Oryzias latipes: one gene and its partners. The protein of the gene in region 5 interacts with the protein of the main gene of each other region in a pairwise test. Links are inferred from orthologs where the notes say so. Each region holds a gene or a part of one and is shown on either strand. Other genes may lie near its edges.

The links.
Region 1: the proteins of meox2 (region 5) and 5'-AMP-activated protein kinase subunit beta-2 interact in binary tests that used the Homo sapiens proteins (3 or more experiments, as listed by UniProt). The link is inferred for Oryzias latipes from reciprocal best matches to the Homo sapiens genes MEOX2 and PRKAB2.
Region 2: the proteins of meox2 (region 5) and hat1 interact in binary tests that used the Homo sapiens proteins (3 or more experiments, as listed by UniProt). The two-hybrid records come from large-scale screens. The link is inferred for Oryzias latipes from reciprocal best matches to the Homo sapiens genes MEOX2 and HAT1.
Region 3: the proteins of meox2 (region 5) and kdm8 interact in a two-hybrid assay, tested with the Homo sapiens proteins (2 studies listed by BioGRID). The two-hybrid records come from large-scale screens. The link is inferred for Oryzias latipes from reciprocal best matches to the Homo sapiens genes MEOX2 and KDM8.
Region 4: the proteins of meox2 (region 5) and transcription elongation factor A protein 2 interact in binary tests that used the Homo sapiens proteins (3 or more experiments, as listed by UniProt). The two-hybrid records come from large-scale screens. The link is inferred for Oryzias latipes from reciprocal best matches to the Homo sapiens genes MEOX2 and TCEA2.
Region 6: the proteins of meox2 (region 5) and gpatch2l interact in binary tests that used the Homo sapiens proteins (3 or more experiments, as listed by UniProt). The two-hybrid records come from large-scale screens. The link is inferred for Oryzias latipes from reciprocal best matches to the Homo sapiens genes MEOX2 and GPATCH2L.

What each region holds. Positions count from the first base shown.
Region 1 is NC_019875.2:22,987,785-22,992,008, forward strand, and holds the start of 5'-AMP-activated protein kinase subunit beta-2, read right to left. Parts: upstream 2,801-4,224; 5' UTR 2,479-2,800; intron 1,011-2,478; 5' UTR 995-1,010; coding exon 836-994; intron 766-835; coding exon 608-765; intron 509-607; coding exon 415-508; intron 1-414. UniProt on the Homo sapiens protein: Non-catalytic subunit of AMP-activated protein kinase (AMPK), an energy sensor protein kinase that plays a key role in regulating cellular energy metabolism.
Region 2 is NC_019879.2:21,992,579-21,996,078, forward strand, and holds part of hat1 (histone acetyltransferase type B catalytic subunit), read left to right. Parts: intron 1-2,673; coding exon 2,674-2,850; intron 2,851-3,244; coding exon 3,245-3,366; intron 3,367-3,500. UniProt on the Homo sapiens protein: Histone acetyltransferase that plays a role in different biological processes including cell cycle progression, glucose metabolism, histone production or DNA damage repair. Coordinates histone production and acetylation via H4 promoter binding.
Region 3 is NC_019866.2:7,579,115-7,583,250, forward strand, and holds the start of kdm8 (jmjC domain-containing protein 5), read right to left. Parts: upstream 2,801-4,136; 5' UTR 2,658-2,800; intron 1,908-2,657; 5' UTR 1,884-1,907; coding exon 1,428-1,883; intron 1,015-1,427; coding exon 842-1,014; intron 1-841. UniProt on the Homo sapiens protein: Bifunctional enzyme that acts both as an endopeptidase and 2-oxoglutarate-dependent monooxygenase.
Region 4 is NC_019865.2:27,292,963-27,296,462, forward strand, and holds part of transcription elongation factor A protein 2, read left to right. Parts: intron 1-457; coding exon 458-563; intron 564-766; coding exon 767-866; intron 867-3,500. UniProt on the Homo sapiens protein: Necessary for efficient RNA polymerase II transcription elongation past template-encoded arresting sites.
Region 5 is NC_019874.2:31,200,353-31,203,852, forward strand, and holds part of meox2 (homeobox protein MOX-2), read right to left. Parts: intron 876-3,500; coding exon 703-875; intron 1-702. UniProt on the Homo sapiens protein: Mesodermal transcription factor that plays a key role in somitogenesis and somitogenesis and limb muscle differentiation. Required during limb development for normal appendicular muscle formation and for the normal regulation of myogenic genes.
Region 6 is NC_019880.2:13,367,053-13,371,032, reverse strand, and holds the start of gpatch2l (G patch domain-containing protein 2-like), read right to left. Parts: upstream 2,801-3,980; 5' UTR 2,694-2,800; intron 984-2,693; 5' UTR 970-983; coding exon 308-969; intron 1-307.

The DNA of each region.
Region 1 (4,224 bases), on a different chromosome or scaffold from region 5:
ACAATTTCACTAATGCTTGTGCTTTTTAAGTTGATGCTAGATTAAGGTAAGTTTGAAGCAGAAGTTGTTTAATGAATATTTGCATGAATAAGGGGTAAAAAAAAACAATTAAAAATGAAATTATAAAACATACAGAACCATCCTGTCCAATCTGTTTTAGATGGGTTAGTTGACAAGTTTTGACCAATGCCAAGCTTAAAATCTGTTCTTACTGACTTATACTCCAAGAAAACATTTCCTATTGCTTCAACCATGTTACTTCATATTCAGTTAAGATGACTTGTTGCCAGCAAATTAGCTTGTTAACGCTTTCAGTTAATCCTTTAGGTTTTGATGTTGACTGCAACCCAGAAACCAGCAGAGCTCAAACTTTTTTCCACAAAAACTACAAGCACAGAAAAATGACTCGGGTACCTCTGAAGGATCATGAACCCACTGTCCATCCACGAAAAACTTATACTGGTGCTCTCCTTCAGGCAGGTCCAAAATGGCAACAAAGTCATTATGGCTTTGAGGAGGGAAAGAAAAAGCAAACAATATTAAAACGATGACAAAACTTCAAAACACATTCGACACCAGTATAACTGATGTAAAACCAACGGTTTACCTTTTATTCAGTGGAATCTTAGTGTTCCAGTTATTGAAAGAGCCTGCGATATAAACCTCCTTCCCCCCACCACCCCAGCGAATCACTGTGGGACGGGCCTGGGAGGCAGTTTTCACCAGGTCATCCAGATCCGGGGTGAATTCTTTATCTCCTAGCCCCTAACAGCAAACATAAATATTTATAATATGAAAGAAATGAGATTATATAGTGAAGTAGTTGGATTCCTACTTTAGACTCAGGTCCATAGGTGTTGAAGATGTTGGGATCATCTGTGCTGTCCACCATCTTGGTGCTGTGCTCCTGGTCTTTGTGGCTGCCGCTGCTGTCGGAACGATGGGCCTTGTTTCCATGCCGATCTCCAGATACCCTGTCACTTGTGTTACCCATGATGCTTCACTGCTTACTGTGCAAAATATAGGGGGGAGAAACTCTTGAAGTGGGAACTAAACCATTATTTATAACACTTTTATGACAAATGTTCATTCATGTTTGCATTGAGGATATTTATTATTCATATTTATCAGATGCTTTCTATTATTTTCTGCTTTCATAGAGGATTTTTGTCGTCTTTTCAAACAGTTTACAATGTAAGTCTTTTCTGAAAAACTTGTTTTTCACTGAGCAGATTAATGCCAAAAAACAAACTTGAAACTATTCTGTAAACACAGTTTCACTCGGTTTCTTAAGGGCATGTAAATGCATCTGGTGACAGTTTTTCCTCTCCTTATTTTTCCTTTTTCAGTTATTAATTTGAACCAAGTAAAGAGCCAGACTGACTTCAACTCCCTTGCTAAAAAAAAAGTGAACTCTGTAAAGATGATCTGATTTAAGCGAACTCTAGGATAACTTTTGTTTCATATTACTAAGAAATTACAAGAAAGTAATGTTAGGCAAAAATTGCTTAAGTACCAAAGTAAGCTTTTTAAAAAATATTGTATCATAAAACATTGATAAGATTGGTTTAAGTTAACGACATGCAACTATTCTATAATAATCATAGTAAAATGTACTTTTTACTAAAAACCTAAAAGAGAATACAACTTCTAATTGAATTTTGATCACATGATGGTGCTTGTTTTCACAAGCATCACCTTTTACGTCCCCACAGAGACACTGATCCCCCCTCCCCCTACATAGAAATGAGCAGTATAAACCTTTCACACTATAATCAAGTCCATCACTTCAAATTAGTTTACAAGCTAAGATGTCTTAATTTTAAAGGATAAAATAGTAGGAGGTTTCAGTGAACAACATAGATAAACGATCAAATTAAAAAAGAAAAAACTAAAAGCTCAGGGCACAAAAGCTTCTATTTACTACAAAGGCGCAGGTGTTTGCTGAACACTGTAGACTGGTGGGTTCACCGTGACACTGCTGGATTCATGGAACACTGATCAGCCTTGGCTTTAGTCAACAAACAGCAAATCCTATTTCGCTTTATGTCACATTGTGTGACATTCACATATGTCACACTCTGGTTTTACAGAAAATAAACTAAAATTGTGTTACTCGTGAGAGTTAAAGTTATAGCTATAAAAAACATCAAATCATCAGTTGTGATTGTTGTTTTTTTCTTCTTAGAACTAAGGATGATCCAGAGTCATATTTAAAAATAAATCAATCAAAAAACAAAACAGCCTAATGATGTGGAAAACAACGATACGTTTATCTTTAGATTATAAAGAAAATAAAAATATTCACAACAGCTAACCTACCCACGTTTAGAAGGTATTTTTAGCATCATGAACTATCAGTGAACTTCCCTGGACACAGATGGGTCCCTTCGAAAATCTGCTTTAACTACAACCGAATGACTTGCGAATCAATAAAAAGCTTAGTTCGTATGACAAAACACACTATTTGTAACCTACCGTGGTAACTGCGCAGGACGCTTTTGCTGTGCCCGCCTACCTCGCGACTGTCCTGGTGAATATTTTTAGCTGCTGGTCGCTGTTAAAGTCAGCTAGCAGCTAGCTAGCTGTCACTCTGCTTTCGAACCGGGAACTCCTTTCACTGTGTAAATAACAACTAAAACAATTTAACTAATTTGATAGAGTACTTGTTGTTGTTTTTAGTCATTTAAAAGAACCGAAAAGGGTTAGAAGCTCGGCCTATCGCTGCTGAGGCGATGATTTGTGTTGAAGAGCAGCAGGAAAGTCTGTGACACCAGCGAAGATCCTCCCCTTTTTACAACTACGGCGGTCGGTAAAGGAAAAAAAGCAGTCAGCCGCGACAAAAACAACATCCGGTAAACAAACAAACAAAAAAAAAAACATTTTTATGAAATTTTACAAATACTTAAATAAATGTAATTAATTCTTTATTTGGTGTCGTGTCTCTTCTTAATAGTGGTTGTAGTAAAATTATCCAAATAATGTACAATTTAGTCAATGTAATTTTTTTTTACAAATAAAATGAAATGAAATTAAAAGACATTTTTATACTATAAAATGTAACATATAGATGTATCAAGTATACTATTTATTTAATAAAAAAAAGATTTACCCTAATTTGCATAAAAAAATACAAATTATTGTGTTACTTAAGTCATTTAATGACGTTAATGCAATGAGCATAAGTGTTTCTCATTCATTTTAATATGTATTGTTGTCTATGTGTACTCTCGATTCAAAGTGATTAATTATTTAGGGGGGTTGTAATTACTTAATTTAATACACTGTATTTTAGGTAAAACAGCTGAGTTGACATCCCTGGCATTTTTCATTCTATCATAGCTTTTTTTCCATCAAGGTAAACAAAATGATTTAAATGACATTGTGGAAATGATAAGGTGTGATTCCCCCCCCCCTCCCCAGCAATTTGTTACTACAATATCAGCTCACCTATCACATCACAACTGCTTTGGTTGCGGGTGTTTATAAAATGTTTTAAAAAGTTTAAGTTACAACATTAACTGAGAAATTGAATTTTGTTTATTTTTTAGTGAGCGTATTTCTGTCCAGGGCTGTACTGTGGCGGTGAGTGCTCTTAGTTCACAGCGAGAAGGTCCTTGTCCAAATACCAGCTGGGACCTTTCTGTGTGGGTTTTCTCCAGGCACCCTGGCTTCATGCTAAAGTCCGAAAATATGCTTTATAGGTTAATTGGTGAGTCTAAAGTGTCCCTTAGTGTAGCTATGAGTGTGTGGCTCCATTACCGACTGGCAACCAGTCCAGGGTGTACCCCACCTTCGCCCAACAGCTGGGACAGGCTCTGGGGACTCTGTGACCCCGAAAGGGATACAGCAGGTTAAGAACATCAATGGATTTATGTCCAAACACTTTTATTCTGTCACTCATTTTTAAATTTTAACGAAAGACCATATTTCTGATGTTCATTTTTGATATTCATGAATTTATTTGCCTAAATTTTTTACATGCTTTAATATAAAAGAAAAAAAATTGATACATGACAGTATTATCCCCTGATATGTTTTTCATGATGCTATTTTCTTACTTTTATTTTTTAAAAGCCTCCTTTCCTTAAAAGACCAGACAGCCCTGATTGGTCAACATTTGCTGTAAAGCAGTTACTAATTGAGGCGTTTTCAACCTGATTCATATGGGCGAAGAAAAAAAAGGGGAAAAAATACATAAATTGTTTCTTTTAGCATTAAAGC
Region 2 (3,500 bases), on a different chromosome or scaffold from region 5:
TAAACACAATTTATAGATCCAGAACTTAACACAGTTCTAAGATAAACGTATACTAGGCAATGTTACGCAACAAATAAATCAGAATGGTCAAGATTCATCATATAACAAATGGCTCCTACAGATATTTTTTAATTTATAAAAACCACCAAAAAGAACCCCACCAATGACGGGCTCAGTTGCATTTTACATTCAGCCAGTTTGCTGATACTTTGGAAGTATCAATAACACACACAATGCTAAGAAGAAGTTCTGAAATATGATAAACGTCAATGAAACCAATTAGAAACTGTTCTCAAGTTAATCTGTTGTGTAGAACTAGGTTTTATTATCCCACAGTAATAACATAATATGGATTTGTCCTACACAACAGTAAGTGCATTGCTGGAATATAAATCATGTAATTACTATATGAAAAACCATTATTATACCAGACAGACTGTAGATTGCTGAATTGTTTGCAAATACGAGAAACTTTACTGATTAGGAATTTTATTTTAACAAATGATGAAATCCAGAGGTGTTTTTGAGTCAGTTGGCTTTCTTCCTCTTATGTTGTCACTTCTCACAACGGACAGTTGACCTGTCATGGATCATTCTGCCATTTTTTTTTACCAAATATGAAGCTTTTCCGCATCATAGTGGTAAATATGTGCTGATTAAAAGAAAAAAAATGTGTACAAACTGAAAATGTGATAAAACAAAATGGACCAATGACCAACATGAAATGGACGTGTTTGTGATGCACTGGCTGTGCAGGTTGTACAAAAAAAAATAGCATTGCAAACATAAATAAACAGACTTGGTTGATAGTTTTAATGATCCTGGAGGAGCAGCTCTGCTCTCTTTGTAAAACTTCATACTTTTTTGTCCCTTTGGCCCACTCTCTTATTTACATATCAAGGGCTCATATTTGGACAAAAGCAGGCTCTAAAGGGGAATGCTTGTCCTGCTTTCTGCTTCTTTGAGACGTTACAAAAGACCACTGGCACCTTTTGAATGCGATGCAACAAACATGCTAATGCAGAAGCAGCAATTAGCCCAGGCTTGAGGTCAAATGATTCAACTCGAGGACATCTGTCCTGACTGTCCTGGTCCGAGCTGTGAGAACTGAGAGGAAGCGTGTGGAATGCTGTTGAATTTTAAGCTGATAAAGTAACAAACTTCAGGGGTTTTTTTCTTTTACAAATAAAAGAGCCGTTCCAGTCGCTGGAGATGAAGCTAAAATGTGATGTGCCACTGCTTGGAGTTGAGCGTTGACCCCTAAGAGTCGGTTCACCTTGTTAAGGGTTTGAGTGCAGCTGGCGTGGAGACAGAGAGCGATGGGGAGCAGCAGAGTTCAGGCTGCATCTGAAGAGGGTTTGTCTCTGAGTGCGTGTGGACGGTCGGGGTGCGGTGCAGCTGGCGAGGGACGAGGGGAGCGGCAGAGATGGAATTGATGCAGCTGCCGCATTGATAAAAGACTGATCAGAACTCACCTTCTCCCCTTTAAAAAAAAAAACCAAGCTAAAAGCAGCACGCTGCTGGAAGTGACCCAGAGATCCCGATTAACGCCAAAGTTTCCTTTGTGCAAATTGGCTTAAAACTCAAAACAATCTAGACATTTTTTATAAATGATATGAATTAGCTGTTTAAACAAGTAAACTTTGAGAAATGGAATTATTGCAGGTTTTCTCTGAACAGTAGATTAAAGAGATGGAATAACACTAATACAGCAAATTAGATAGTTTGTACTCCTTTTGTGGCTATTGTCAGAAATCAAAGACATTAACAAACTGCTCTAAAAGAACATTGTTTGGTTTTATTCACTCCGAACCAAGGCATCTATTCTGGATGGCTGTGCAATTTAGTGTCTAGTATGTAGGAGAGTGGCCGAGACAAAGCGATTTGTTTGTCAATGGCCTTTTAAGTGTGGTCCTAGTTCCCGAGAAATCTGGCTGAACAATTACAATGGTTAAGAGGTATTCAGCTGCAGGTGCATTACTTCCAGTTAGATATTAGCTGATGTCTGAAAGGAGGGGAATTAGCAGGATGTTGTATTAGCCTTTTGTAGTGCATTTTGCTCCGACCTTCTTCATGTCCCAGTTTTTAATGCCGAACAGCAAGGGTCTGTGTGCAGCCATAAAGCCCATCACACATGTAAATGGTGTGAAAGGGCTGCTCAGCAAAGTGTTCTCATGTCAATCCTAGTGGAAATGGATACAATGCAAACATTACAGCTGAACTAACCACACATTGCACTGAGTAAAAAGTCTGAGGGACGGACGCTTTTGTCTCTCGGGCTCTTTGAAAAACCGACGGGCAAATTCATTTGATTGGGTTCACTTGGCAGGATTAGAGGAGAGGCCTCTATAATGCATGGCCCTAAAGGTTTGTTAAGTTGGGGATCAAGTCATAAGATTTCATCTACTATTAGGAGGGAGGGGGGAAATGCATTTATTGTGGCAACTTCATCAGGTATTCATGGTTTAGCATAAGTAGTAAATGTATGGATTGAAGTGGGCTGGTAAAGGGGGCGAGGGGCGGGGGTGGGCTCTGCTCAGCTGACACTTGTAATTGCCTGTTTTCTTTCCAAAAAAACTAAACACACACTTGCTGGTTTAGCAGAAACGTGACCAAAGTGCGACCAGAAAGTTTTCCAGTCCGTCTGGTCTGATGAACTGTTGTGTTCTTCAGCCCGATGATGTGGAGGGGAAGATCCGGGAAATAATTCCCGCCGGGTTCACCTCGAACACGGATGACTTCACCTCGCTGCTGGAAAAGGAGGCCAACTTCAAGCCCTTTGGCACCCTTCTTCACTCATACACGGTCCACAACGAGGAGGCGGGAGAGTTCACATACCAGATTCACAAGGTACCTTCACCTCAGTTTCAGTTTGAAGACCCACTCCGACGAAATTCTTTGTTTTTAACATGTTCTCGTGGCGGGTTTTGAATGATGTATAAAGGAAATAAAGCTCCAACGTGCATTTAGTTGCGAATCAGGATCAGAGTTGTTTGAAAAAGGCCGTAGTTGTGATATTAAGCTCCCTGCTCTCCCTCTGCTTTGCAACAGAGAATGGAAGGGGGGCGGGGTTGCTCTGCGTCCACAGTCGTGCCCACAACAACGCTAAAAAACGGCATAATCGAAATGAAAAGACCACTGGGAACCCTTTAAAAATGGCTCAACACGTTATCGGAGCTGGTATTTGACGTCCATTTGGATCACTAAAATGATGATTTTCTTTTTCCCCCCGGGTCCATCCCAGGTGGAGATCAGCTGCCCCGGATTCCGAGAGTACCACGAGCGCCTGCAGACCTTCCTCATGTGGTTCATTGAGACCGCCAGCTTCATCGACGCCGATGATGATCGCTGGGACTTCTTTCTTGTGTGGGTGCCCTCCTTAATTGACACCAACCCCCCAGCTTTCAAACCAAAGCCTTTTTTGTGTCATTGAAAAACAAAGGCCCCCTTTGAGGCGCTTGTGACCAATTACCAGGCCAGTTTGATTATATTTCCCCCTG
Region 3 (4,136 bases), on a different chromosome or scaffold from region 5:
ATCCTTTACTCTGTTGTTTCTGCAGAACAGAACTCTAATATTTGTCCCACTTCTCACTTCTGAAGTGTCACAGGACACTTCAGGGGAATCCCACCCCATGCTTTTATTTTATAGCTGCCATTGCTACTTTCCTTCAATTTCAGTGTTTGTCCCTGAAATAATACAGGAATTTTTTGAATCTATTGTTTTAAACCAGACCTAATCGGTTTACTAGCTTGTAGTTGAGCACATTTGTACTTTTTTGGGGGGAATATTTCCATCCTTGGGGTTTCATAAGGTTTTTTCCTATGGAGTTTGTTTGTTTTTTAATGCTTTTTATTACCTACAAGTTTCTTTCTGGGATTTTGTCATGCTGGTTGACAGAATCGAACCACAAGAAGTAGTTAGAAAGCTGCTTTGAATAAATCAGGTCGACATCCTTGCAAAAATGATGTCAAGTTTATTTTTAAAAAAATTAATAAAGCTTGCAGAATGATTGGAGGGCGTTGTTTTAAAAGATGAAAATGTGTTCTTGAAAATTAAAACATAAAATACAGGGGAAAAAACGTTTTTGTTTAAACAGCATCACTATGTCAACTTTTATTTATGGTTTCTTAAACCTGTAAATGTTTGTACACAGCATGAAGGACTCTCATGCTCCTCTGCGTGTTTCAGTCATCTCAGCAGCATCAGAGAACTCTAAACATTAGAAAGACTGTGTTGTTTCAAAAACAAGACATTTTTGACTTGTTAGTTTTACAAACTATCAAAATAAAAAAAAAAAATGGGAAACACAAGTCAAATATGATTTTTTCCCCCTGTTGACAGCCATAGTTTAGTGTTTCCTGAGAATAAAACAAACCTCCAGGGGTGGTTGTTGAGAGCGGGCCAGTGGTCAATGATTCCTTCTAAAATCACCGGTTTGAGGGGAAGCAGGTAGTTTGTGCTGAAGCTTTCCAGGGAAGGACACTTGATCCTGGGCACTGCCTTCTCTTCTCTGATTGAAGGACTGCGGGGGCCCTCAGTCTTTAATTTCTGTTCGTGACAGAACAAAAAGACGTGCATGTCAATGAAATGTGGTTTGGACTGTGTAAAAGGTTATTTTCTCCCTCTTAACATAAAAAAAAAAACAAGCTTAAAAAAAAAACAAGCAGCAGGAGGAAGAAATAACCAAAAATCCTTGAACTTTGTGCAGCTCTTCGCAGCAACCTTGAATGTTTCAGCTAGTTTTGAAAGAGCATTTATCAAGTGTGAATTTAAAAAACTCAGCCATGTCGGGTCTGAGAAAGGCAAGTGCAAAAGGAATAGAAAAAAATGTTTTATGCATCAATTTTTTCATGAAATGCCACCAGAAATGAAAAGGATTAGCATGTGCGAAAAATAAAAACCAGCGATGGAGCAAAATGACAAAAACATTTAGTAATTTTGTGTCGAAAATCATAACAAACCTTAGCAACAACTTCTACACTTTTCTCCTCGTCTTTACTGGTTTCGCTTATTTCATTTTGCAGAATTCGAACAAGAACCTGGAGTATGTCATCCATGATGGCCGCACCCATCAGTAAACCCATGTCACAAGTCCTGACGGCCTCCAGGATCTCCTGTTGTGATGGATTTTCTCGGCACAGTGCGGCCACTTTGAAGAGGCAGCCATACGAGTAAACCCGTCTCCATTCCTTGTCCACGTGGCGCCACGTCCCTGTGTTCAATCTTTCCCATGAAATGTCTAGAATGATCTGGGCGTTGAGCCCCTGGCTGGCGCACGTCGCGTTACCGTACAACTGCTTCCGACAGCGCCTCAGTACTTCCACCACGCTTGGGTCTACTTTGTCGCTGAACTGCAGAGGGAACTGTTCCTCATCAGCCGGCAGAGTGGAGAGGATTTTTGACCCAAGAGACGACATCGATCAGAAGAGTGTCTTTCTGTTCTGAACACAGGTAAAAGAACACAAGAAAATGTTAAATATACATTCACAATGGTTCAGAGGCTGGAATGGGATCACTTATGGGCAATCAGTGCAAAAAATCTGCCTCCTATCAGCACATCCTCACAGAGGATGCTTGTTTATTTCATCTTCAACAGCCTGCAAACTGGCAAACAAAGCACACAGGTGAGGCTACAGTGAGCCAGAACCGTGCATGAGACTCAGGCAGAATGACAAGATTGCAGCAGGCTCTCTGGAATGCTGCCTCTGCATGACTCCATCAGTTCCTGCAAAGGTGCCAACAGGCAAACTCTGAGCACCTGATTCCTTTCTACACAGACACAAACATGGCTGTGGAAATAGTACTGACTTGACTAAGCTGAAAAAAAAATGGTTTTATGGAATACTTTGACCCCGAGGTTCTCTCAGATTGTAGAAAATCCCACAAAATAGATTTTAACACGTGATCTTTTTTATTTTAGCATATATAATGTATATAATTGCTCCTTTCAATAGAATGTTGTAACTATGGTTTATACCATTTCTAGATTCAATCTTAAAAGGTACCCACGTTACAAAACAAAGCATTGTTGCTTTAAGGTAATTTAATTAGTCTGCAAAAACACAGAACACCTTTTGAGTTCCATACTCCCAGGATATTTAAAATTAAATTACACCGTTACCGTAAATTATTCAAAATGAAAACACGTATTGACGTACTGCTGAATTGGAAATAAATACAATAAATTTTACCTTCCACATCCAGATTTTAAACTGTTTATCAGATCTTTTATTTTATCATTATTACTTTTAATTTAAAAAAGAGGTTTGACAGCTAACGAAGGTGCAAAACAAAAATCCGCTGCCGGTGGGCAGACAAAACCCCACCGGAGGGAAACTCAGCGGCGGGAAACATTCGTTCCATCTAGGGTTCAAAGATGTCAAAAAACACTGCGAAATCCCTGAAAACCTTTTTAAATATTTACAAAAGTACATGATGTAACACTTGAAAAAATATGATAACATTACATTTTGTACCCTTTCATTTTTAAGAAGCTCCTTAATGTGTATTCACCCTACACACCAATTATGTTGTAAAATCATAGTGGCATTGCATTTTTTATGCTCAAATCTTAGTACACCTGTAGAGAATATGAATATGCACACTCTAAACATTTTTTAAATTGTCATTTGCATGGTATTGCATGTGTGCAGTAATATTCCCCTTAGCAAAACATACTATTTAAGTTTACTACAAGTATTCTTGGGCCTGGTGAATGCTGAAATTGAGACACTATAATTGACATTTATTTTTTATTTACTACCTTTAGCATATATTGTAAACTTTAAATGTAACAATTTAGTCTTAAAAAGTATTCAGTCAGTATACTTCCTACTCTACACTTACATGGTCTGCAACAGTCCACAACCTGTGGCTCTGGAGCCACATGCAACTCTTTTGTCCCTTCATCATGACTTTTTGGTTTTGAAGAAAAATGCACAGTAGGGTGTTTGTTTAGGTACATTTATTTTCGTTAGGTTTTTATTTATGTTTCGATTTTTAACATGTCAGATAACTGAGCAAGATGATATGGATGCATATAAAGCACATATTACTATCTTTGGCTGTACAAAGTGTCTGGTTGATGTTCAGAGGCAAAGCTCCTGGTTGCAGTAGCCTTTGGATCTAAAAAAAAATACCAGTATTCTGCACCAATCTTGTCATGCTTATTTTGGATAGTAAGGAAATGGAAAAAGGATGACAGTGCACCGAAGTCATTTGATGGTAAATGTCACGTTTGACTTGGCATTCTTGCAACTTTAGCCCTGTCTTATTTGACATAGGATGCATTTTATTTTGAAAGGAACTTTTTGTTTAACTTTCAAAAGTAAAAAGATTTAAAATTGTTATAAATAGAAAAATATATCATTTTTATTGCTATATATTTATTAAACAGCTGTACTGCAAATATTGAAAACATTTTAAAGCTGTGCAGCCGTTATGCCGTTTTATGAATGAGTGGCCTGATTGTCACAAAAATATAATTTATTCTTAATAGTGAAGTGGAATTTTGCAACTCTTGCATGTTTTTAGGTGTTAAGATGTAGACCCAAGTTACACTTTTCACTTTAGATGTTGCAGACCTCTGATCTATAATATGCTTGATATACTTACATTCATGCATACTTAACAAAAAATACTTCAAGTGTACTACTTTTTGCTTTTTTCTT
Region 4 (3,500 bases), on a different chromosome or scaffold from region 5:
AGCTGCAAAAATGTCCACCTGTCAACATGTACACAAAACAGATAGTGTTCACACACGCATACTTATGCCTTAACACCAACTAGTGTGAAATATTTCAGTCATTCAATCATGCAAACTATTAGTGCAAAGGTGAGCTAACACCTGTGCTCAGGTGAGTGTTTATGTTCTTCTAAAATGGATGGTGGAATGTATAAAGAAGGAAGGAGAGCGCCCAGCCATCCCCAGACCAGGACCCCCGCCGCAGCAGCAGCGGCAGCCGGAACCCCCCAACGCCACACGGCAGCAGGCAGGGGACAACCGCCCCCCGGGCGACCAAATCCGCCACCCAGGCCAGGACCAGCAGGACCGCAGTGAGGCCCCCAGAGCCAGAGAGCAGGGAGGCACGGGGGGAAAGAGAGCGCCGCCCCAGCCCTAAGACTAAGTTTTTGATTGTTTTTTTTTTGCTCCTGGCTTGTAGTCGACCAGAGTTGGGATGTCGGTGAACGCAGTGAGGAAGCAGAGCTCTGATGAAGAGGTGCAGACTCTGGCCAAATCTCTGATCAAATCCTGGAAAAGACTGCTGGGTAGGTGTGTGTGTTTATGTGCGTTCATCTGTCCTTTTTTAGATTAGACTGAATTTGTGAAGATCTGAGAAAAAAGCTCATGTTGAGGTTGCAGGGGACACTTCTTCAGGTCTAAAGGCAGATATGGACAGAAAAGCCATGAAAGAAACGCTGCATTGTCTGTTTGTCATGTCTGTGTGGGTGGTTTGTGTCGTATGTCATAGATGGTTCAGAAGGGAAATCGGAGAAGAAGGAGAAGAAGAAGGAGGGCTCTCCTTTAAGGTCATCGTCAACCTCGAGCGACTCTGGCAGCAGTGGGAAAAGGTCTGTGAAGATACAACACAATGTTAAAAAAAAGAAATATATTTTGACAAACACAAACCTCTGAGGGATATACCATATTTTCACGACTATAGGGCGCACCGGGTTACAGGGTGCGTTCTCAGTTATAGGTAATTTTTGGGTATTTGACACATGCAAAAGGCGCACCGGGTGTTTAGGCGTGGGCACGTTAACACAGCATACCGGTAAAACATGCACTCTAGTGTTGAACTATTCCCGCGATGACGTTTCTGACCGCGGGGGAGATCCTCTCAGGGTCTATAGCGGATCTTCCTTCGGGGGTTCACTTCCCCGTTTGGACCCTCAAAGCCTCCAGAGCGGGTTCATAATAGAACCAGTCTCTGTTTTTTTTTTTTTTTTTTTTTTGAAGGAAGACCTTTTTTAGTTACTGTTCTGAGTAACACAAACTGAATGCGCGCTCACACCCTCACTTTGCTGAATGCCTGCCCCCCCCTTTTGCAAACACTGGAGCGCGGCACGCGGGAACTAAGCACACACACATTTCAGCAAGCAACCATATACACTCATTGTGGAAGAAAAGCAGCGGGAGAAAAACTGAGTTGGTTCTTATGCCGTCTTCTACTGCTCCTATGCCATAGTCCCACAACTACACATTAGGCGCACCGCCTCATAGGGCGCTCCTTACAGTTTGGAGAAAATTTAAGACTTTTAAGTGCGCCTTATAGCCATGAAAATATGGTGCTTAGTGTTCCGAGGACCTCAGAAGATCCATATATGGACTTTTTTACCTAAAACTTTGAATCCAAAAGAAAAATAACCCAAGAACACCTTAATATGCATTAAACATTCACTGAACGAGTCATCTATGATGTCCACTACAGGATTCTACATTGCATAAATAAAGAGTGAAGTGGGACAGGACGGCACCTCAGCAAAGTTCCAAACATTTAGGAAAAAAATGGGTGGGAGAAAACATTTTGCTACTCTATTGGGTCTTCCCGTTAATTAAACCACCGGCCAAAAAAAAAAATTGTATTTGCAACAAAATATCAACAAAGTGTCTCATCATGACGCTCTGATACACTGACTGCTTTTCTCTGCTTCAGAATTCATTGGACTTGAGTTAATTACATGAACAGTTGAAGAGCTTCGGGAGTCGAAAGACTGTAAATGCTGGAGCCACAGCTCCGATGTTTTAAAGGGTAAAATTGTGAGATTTTTTTTTTTCACATATCACAATTTTTTAAGCCGTATCTGAATTCATACCCTACCCCTACGGCGTCTCCCCACCCCTGCATTTAGCCCTCCAAACAGAGAAATATAGAAAAATAGTGTCCTCAAATTCTTCGTCACTCTCACTCTATGACATCGACAATAGTCACCGGCCATCCTTGTTGGCGAGTAGCAGCCAGCACTGGGAAAATGCATAACACCAGTTTTCACTTGAAAAAGCCATGCTTAAACAAAAAGTGATTACGGTACTTAAAGGTGAAGGTCTGTGTATAAGAGCACACCCACATGAATGAAATCCATTTCTCCTCTGCGGTACAGCGCGACGCGTTACACCCTCACAGCGGAGGGTGTAACGTTGTCTCTCCGCTGTCCTTAAAATATATCACCTTGGGTTTAAATGAATCAACATTTGTGTGTTAGTTTGTGGGTGGGATGTTTAACCCTTTAATTCTTCAACCACTTCCTTAATTAATATAAATCACTTAACTAACATAAAGTGTTGCATATTGGTGAAAAGTTGCTTTCAGAAATAGAATAAAGTTAATTGCGTGAACAGTTGAGTGATAAATCAGGAGCAGAAGGAAAAATACTATTAGCTAAAGAACTTGTTTGTGATGTAGAAAATGCACTGAGTGGGCCTCAAGCTCCCTGCTCAGCTCAATCCTGAGAAGCTTCTGATCTACTGGGATTTTCACCCACAACCATCTCTAGGGTTTACAGAGAATGCTCCGGAAAAGAAAAAATGCCCATTGAGCGGCAGTTTGGGGGCAGAAATACCTTGTTGATCCCAGAGGTCAGAGGAGAATGACTAGACTGGTTCCAACTGAGGTCTGCAGAAGGCAGATGGACTACAGCAGCTGAAGACTACACAAGGTGCCACTTCTGTCAGCTAAGAACAGGAAAACTGAGGCTACAATTCACACAGACTCACCAAAACTGGACAATAGAAGATGGAAAGACGCTGATGAGTCTCCATTTCTGCTGCAACATTCAGATGGTAGGGTCAGAATTTGGCGTCAACAACATGAAAACAGGAATCCATCCCGCCTTGTATCAACGGTTCAAGCTGGTTGTGGTTGTGTAATAGTGTGGTGGATATATTCTAGTCACACTTTGGGTCTCTTAGTACTACTAATTGGGCATGATTACAACGCCATAGCCTACCTGAGTATTGCTGCTGACCAGAAACTAACCACAGTGTACCATCTTCTGATGTCTACTTCTAGCAGGATAAGCCACTATGTCATAAAGCTGGAATCATCTCAGACTGGTTTCTTGAACATGATAATGAGTTCACTGGACTCAAATGACCTCCACAGTCACCAGATCTCAACCCAACAGAGAACCTTTGGGATGTGGTGGAACGAGAGATTGGCATCATGGATGTGCAGCCGACAAATCTGCTGCAACTGTGTGATGCTG
Region 5 (3,500 bases):
CAAATTTACCTTCATTCTTCAAATAATCCTTAAAGCGTTTCTGATGAATGAAGCTAAAGATTCATAAATAACAGACCCGTCAGAACGGCGTCGACTTGGATCCGTTTCCAGGAAACAAATGCCGATAAAATCATCACAACCTGCTTGTTTTGACTGTTAACTGCAGTTTTGGGAACGATAGAAGAATTTGATTCAAGGATCTACTTTGGAGGAAAAATGTCTCTGATGTTTGTTTGCTGCCAACAAAGAGGAGAAGAAAAAGGTTAGAAACATCTAAGAACACAAATTAAGTCCATTTTGGGACATTTTCTTTGTGGATGTTTTAAGAGTAAATCGGATAAAAACACAAAAGTGGTTGGGATTTGAAAAGCAGCATAAAAAAGCTCAAGTGATATTTTGGGGAGCAGTGGATTTTCCTCTGCCTTTCCTGCAGAAGGTTTCCCGACAACAACAGGTAGTGGGCCGCTTCCTTCCCTGAAGCGATTGTCTGCTGCTCTGGTGTTGGGAAGTGCGAGCTCCACAGAACTTCCCTCCGCCCGAGGGAACATCTGGAACATGAGAGCCCCCGTCCCGTGGCCACATCTGGAGCCCCCAGACGGAGCTACAGAGAGCCAGTCGTCGTCCTGAGGCCAGCTCTGTTTTCACAACACGGCATTAATGTGCTAATGGAGGGAAACCCGGGGGGACCAAGCTGCGACTTACTTGTCTCTCAGTCAGGTCCAGGTTGACGGCGATCTCGTAGCGCCTTAGTCTGGTTAGGTAGTTGTGGTGGGCGAACTCGGCCTCCAGCTCGCGGATCTGCTCCTTGGTGAAGGCCGTCCGCTCCTTCCTGGGTTTGCCGCTGCCGTCAGACTTGTAGTTCCCGTCCTGGGACTCTGAAAGCAGAAAAGGGTCGAGTTGGTATGGGAGCAGATTTACAGAGCTGGGGGGCAGGTGCAGGACAGTGGGGCAAACTAAAAGCACCGGGGAGAGCGGCCTGTCAGTGTTTCCGAATTCTTTCAGCGGCTGGGCGACAGCAGCACATGCGGCGGCGGCCTGCGGCGAGGCCCCCGGCTGCAGGCGGGCCCTCACTCCCAACAGGGATTTGATTTGAAGAATCTGCAGCTTTCATTTCATTAAACTCACTGGTTGTCAGGAAAATCCTCCTTCAGGAGGCGGAATCGTTTCAAACAACAAAAGTGCACAACTCAGGCTGGAGAGTCGCGGTCCCTCCAGCTCTGCAGAAACGCTTTGTGTTGTGGATATTTCCCACAACTTTCCAAAGAAAACACGTTTGGCTTCCAGAACCTTCCAGTTGTGAGCTGCGGTTTGTCTGCTGGATGAGCTTCAAGTGCAGACGGTGGTGGATGGCAGCAGCAACTGCCGGCTAATTCATCTGCGGTCCGGTTCTGTGCGTTACTCCTGCCGTCGGACCTGCAGCTTCTCTGCTGTCTCTGAGATGCAGTCCTCCTCCTGAGATGTTCCGACACTAGACACGTGACTTCCCGGCCTGCCGCTGGCATTCTGGTGACCTTTGACCTTGACTCCATCTCTGAAACTTCTGCTCTCCCCGATTCCCTCAGACACCACCTCAAAAGACCAAAAAAAAAAAAAAATAAGGAAAATCCGGAGCGTAACGCAGCCGCCGAGCAGGGCTGGAGTTACAACCAGCAGAAGGTTTTTATGGCGCAGCCGCTACACCACAGCAATTAGGTCCCTGCTCCAACTTTCATCTTGCCACAAAAAAAGCCGGAATAATTTGAGAAAAACATAGGAAACCCAGACGGGGCATGCCGTTTGGGGACGTGAGGGAAGCTCTTCACACACGACTCCGAGCTTTTCTCCTGCTTTTTCCAGGACAAACGGCTTTTCTTCTCAGACTTGTTTTTTCAGGCATCGGACACTTTCCTGCTGCTCTTTTACGACGATGCCTCCGCAAAGTAAGACTTCAAGCACCTTTTATTGTTCCACAAAAAAATCTGGTAACTTTTTAAAAGCGCCACCACTCCCTTGACAGCTCCATAAACTTGGCTGAGCTGCCCTCCCTCTGCGAGGCCCGAGCCCCCCCCCCCAAAAAAAGGGGGAAAGAGGGGCAGTTTCCCTGAAACTAAATACCACCGACTCATCCGCTCACGCCGCCGCTTCACGGCAGGAAACACCAACAAACGGGTGAAATGGGTTCAACGTGAAGGGACTTCTCAGGTTCTGCTGCATCTAAATTCAGGTTTCACTCCGGTTTCTGGCCCGGACGGTGAAACCCGATGTGAGCAGGGTCTCGTGCGAAGGGTTCTGATATTTAGACAGCTGCCTGAGTCAGCAGCCCGCTCTGACCATCGGCGTGGGGAGAAGCGCGGCGGTGGGATTCAGAGCCCGTAGAACTGGAAAAGGGATCAGGAAGGCCGACCCATAAACGGGATCGCAACACTCAAAGCGATTGAAGACTAAACACAAAAAAACTGTCATGCCGGCTCCTTCTGACTTTCATCTGGACTTCCTGCAGAATAAATGATGGTATAGGATAGAAACCAGATTACTTCCACTGCTGTCAACAGTTGTGAGTTAACTTCTACTACATTCAGGAACAAAGATCTCAGTCACAAACATTTACGGTGTCAATAAAAAATAAAGTGGTTACAGGAGATCCATGGATTTGTCTTTAAAAAGCCTCTTTGACAGCAGGCACAGTGAAAAGCTTTGATTATACTCTTCTGGATGAAATGTCCAGTGGTTTCAGTCTGGATGCTCACAGAAAATCAGAACCTTTGTAGTGACCAATGAAGGTTGAAAGAATCAAAGAAACGTGTCGTCTGCAAAGCTTCAGGACCACGAAGACCAGCGGAAAAAACATCCCTAAACACCCTGACATGAATCCGCTCCGGTTCTGTCTGCGACTACAGCGGAACCGCTCAGCTGATCCCCACAGAGGTTCTCTGAGCCCAAAGAGACGAAGCTCTGACCCACAAATTCAGGAGTTAAACATTTCTCTTGTTTATTTTTTGGTTGATCACAAAGTAATCTTTATATTTTATCCTAATTATCTTATATACTCATTTTGAGTTGCAAAGAAGAAATTAGTCTGAAGTAGTTTTTAGTTAAAAAAAACAAATTTTTTTTAATGTTTTAATTAAAAATGATTTTTAGCCTGAAATAATTCAGAGTGAACTTTTTGAAAATATAATTTTTATTTATTTAATATCTAATATTTAGTCATCTCTTAAATTTATCCCAAACCTCAGTTCATTATTTTGAAATCTCTCCTTCAGTTGTTTTCAGGTTTTTTTGGGGGCGTTTCCTGTTTACGGTCCGTGACAGGAAGTCATTCCTGGGATGGGGTTTTCGATCACGCCGGCAGTCAGATGAGCCCTCATTGTTATCATGTGGCCGTCTGCTTCACGCTTGCAGCCGGGCGCCGCGTCAGCTGACGGCCCTTTGGAGGTGACGAGTGCAGATGTGGCTCTTGGCTCTGCCTGTTTATTTGAGCAGAACGTGTTTAGCAGACGGACCTGCGGAGAATTCGGCTC
Region 6 (3,980 bases), on a different chromosome or scaffold from region 5:
TTTGAATATGAGCTCAAGACTACAGAAGGGACTTCATCGGGATATTCCCCTTTTGAACTAGTTTGAAGGCCTTCTGAATACTAATAATAAGGATTTTCAATACAAATAATACCAAGGGTTCTATTGTTTCTTTGCTACTGTCTAAAATAGAAAAAGATATCATTTTAATTTTAGAAAGAAACTGTTCAAAGGATTATATTGAATTTAAACATGCTCATTTCTGCTAAAAGTGTTTCACAAATGTGAATTCATTTGAAGTGATAAATATGGAAATGTTTCATAAAGGACCAGAAGGATTTTAGATTACCCTTCAGACATGTTCTCATCAGCAGCGTCTCTGTGCTCCTTCGTCATCTTCCTTTTCCAGCACTTCTTCCCCAGCAGTCTGCCTCCTTCACTCTGTCTCTCGTTCTTCATCCAGCCACCAGATCTTCGCTTGGATCCCGAGAGACGGTGTACCTTAGGCGGTCTGTGCCTCTGTTTGCGATCCACCTCTGACACTGTTAGCTTCTGCTGCAGCCTGTAGGTCACCCCGGAAGTCATACGCTTCACCTTCCTCCGCCTCCTGAGTGGCCGTCCTGGATTATTCTCGGTGAAGGAGTCAGACTCTGGCCAAGAGGGCTGCCTCGTCCTAACTGAGCCCCCCACAAGTGATGACCAGTGGTTGGTAGCAGACATGTCGTCAGAGTCACTGCAGTTGGCCACCGATGCAGGAAAAGTGAAGGACGAGTTCTCCCTGAAGTCTTTAGCTTCATCTAAACTGGATTCCGAGGCGTCAATCCAGCATCTTCTGGCAAACAATGGATAAAGGGAGGATTCGTGAAATTTCTTGCGTCCCCTGCGGCGTCGGATCTGTCGCCGATGCTGCAGTGGACTCAGGACCATTTCCTCCCACAGCTCCCCCAGCTTATTCGGCTCTGAGGCCTGTTCCAGAGCTGACACCAGGTCCTGCACCAGCTCATCCATCATAGTGCTGGAAATGACTGACACAGCAAAAGACGGTTAAAATCTGCAGTGACCGCCAAATTAGCATAAACTGTAACATTGTTGTCTGGATTAGATATGGTGTCTATGTTGTCTTTTATGAAAAAACATAATATTTTCAAAAAGGAAGCAAATGCTGAAGAGCCTAGAGCAAAATCATTTTGTATGAAAAGACAAACTAACACTCTATAAAAGACAAGGTCCTCAAAAGTAAAGTAGCTTGTACTTATACAAAAATGACATTTATTATTCCCATGCTTTTTACACATCCGTTCATTTTGACAGCAAATGGGATTTCTAAACACATTTGTGTTGACACTTTTCAATTAAAACAGTCAGCACAAAGAACCGATAATATAGGGTTAGCTAATTGTATATATCGTTAATAATTATATTCTTGGTAACATGAGAGACAAATGAATTTAAGAAAAACATGTAAATTATGTTATTGTGGGAAAAGCTAGAAGTTTTAATCAAATATTATTTACAACAGGAGATAAAAAAGACATTTCTTGGACTACATATATTTACATCATCAGTTATCCCAGTTTATGGGATAAATGGTTACCTTTAGTGTTTATATACATGTGAATACAATCTCATAGCAGGTGAATCAAACAGAGCTTTTTAAATATTTCACCAATGAAAAGCAGCCCTTTAATGTTAGATTCCTGCCTCATGTGAAGACGAGAGGTCATTTGAAGTTCAATTTAAGATATGTTGACTTTCATTTAAATAAAACCATTACAGTGAAATGGAAACAATGTATTAGTTGTCTTTATTGTAAATTAGAACATGTTCTTAATGGCTTACCTGGTTAAATAAAGGTTAAATTAAAAAAAAATGTTTTTTGTTTTGCTAACTGCTCATGCATCACGTGTATCTTTGCACATTGATGCCTTCTGTATCCCTATATTTCCCAGAGCTGATCAAAATTCCATTGCAATTTGCTATTATAATGTCAATAAATGATTCTGATATCGTCATCATTCATAATGATCACAAATATCGCACATAGTGAGTTTTTCTCGTATGCAGCCCGAGAGCTAAGCCAACATAGCAGCTCCTGTCTGTATTATGTTTCTCCATTCTTTTGATGGTATGATGATCTCATCTGCTGTCATTTAAAGCAGCTTTCTTAGCAGAAAATGAATATAAACGACAAGTATTTGTCCTAATCTAAAATGCTAAGCTAAGCAAACCAACATGGCTATAAATTATAGATTATCTTATTTTCTCTAGTATGTTTACTTGTGTTAAAATTTAAAAGAAGAATGTAAACGTGAAAAGACATAAGACATATTTGTAATGACAGGTTTACTACTAGCACGGATGAGCAATGATCACTGCTGTTGTCCTTGAGAACGTTTGTTTATCATCAGGAAAAGCGAAACCATCGCGTTGTCTTTCTAATTAGCTAAGAAAAACTGCTGGGAATCTGTGCGGCATGACTGCAGCAAAAACAACAGCACAGCAGCAGGTTGTAGTATCTATCTGCATGGTGATGGTCCCTCACTGCTGCTGTCTGTTACATAACAGCTCACACACATGACATCAGCAACAAGGACACCTCACTGCTCTACGCCCTCAATGTCAGCAAAGCTAGCCGTTTGTTCGCCCGCCGACCGGTCTCACGCATACAGCTCACGCAGCCGCTCCGACAACGAACCGCGAGCAATAAAAGGAGTTCACGGTATTGTGATACTCACCTGTCTCTGCTCGTGTTGTTTTGTTGTCAGCCCTCTGGTGGGGCGTACACGCACTTCCGCCCTGCACTACAGCCAATCAGCAGATTCTACGTCACCGTGACGTACAGCTGCGACAGCAGACAGCGCGTGCAGACAGGAAGCCTCAAGCTGACAAGAAAATGATTTGTTGCTGTTATTTTACAAAAAAATTGTTAAATCTTTCTGAAACTAATGTCTTCACGTTTTTTTAAAATAAATTTACCAAGTAGTTTTCTTTCTTCTTGTTTTTTTTGTCAGAACACAATATGTTTTTCTTTTATTTTATACGTTTATTGGTGTGAATTAAAGCTTCCAGGTTTTTATATGGGAAATCCTTTTTGTTGTTTTTTTTCACCATGTTTTGCCCTCTTACTATTTTCATATCTTACTTTTAGCTTCTTTTATTTAAGGAGAGTAAGATCATTAAAACGATTGTAACATTATATAGGCTGCTACAGATATTCAGAAACACTAAATGCAGCTTGAGATTGTAGGTTTCAAGGGACAATGAAACTTAAACAATGATGGACAAAATGACAATAAAAATAATGCTAAAAGCTTTACTACCTCAGAATGAGGCAGATTTCCAATCTTTTTGTCTTATGCACCTCATGAGCGATATTTGTCACAATTCACTCATGTGTTGACAATTCTTTTGGATCAAACCAAGTTATCTGAAAAATATACAAATATCCCTTGTGCTATCCTAGGCACTTTGCCATTGGGAGTTGGGTCATGTAGACCCACTAGACAGTGCGCTGAACCTTTTTTCTTCAATGATTTGTGATCTTCACTGTTGTCCATGGATTACATGAAATCTTTCCACCTTTATCCACCTTTGTCATGGTAGGAATTACACGTCAAAGTAAGGGTGGGGTCATCTAAGATAGCACAAGGGTTAAACGAACTATTTGAATTGCAAAATAAATGTAAAGTACCTGTTCAGTGTTCTGTGTTGGTCTTTTTCTTCTGGCTAAAGCTTCAAAAATACATTTCTTGGAGAATATGGGAGCCAAAGGTGATCTGGTAGTATACTGATTCTTTTAATTTTGTCTCCTCTGAACATCCAGTTTTTTCCAATTTGCCCTCCATCTTTAAGCCCGTTTATTTGCTGAATATCCAGTCTCGAATGATTAGGCTGCTTACATTGTTTGTTCATTTTCAGTGTTAAGCCTAACATTGAAAACTTATAAAGTAATAATAAAAAAAAGACAACAGAAATATGACAAAAATCCTAATATGGACAGGATTATTTATACCATCTGCAAT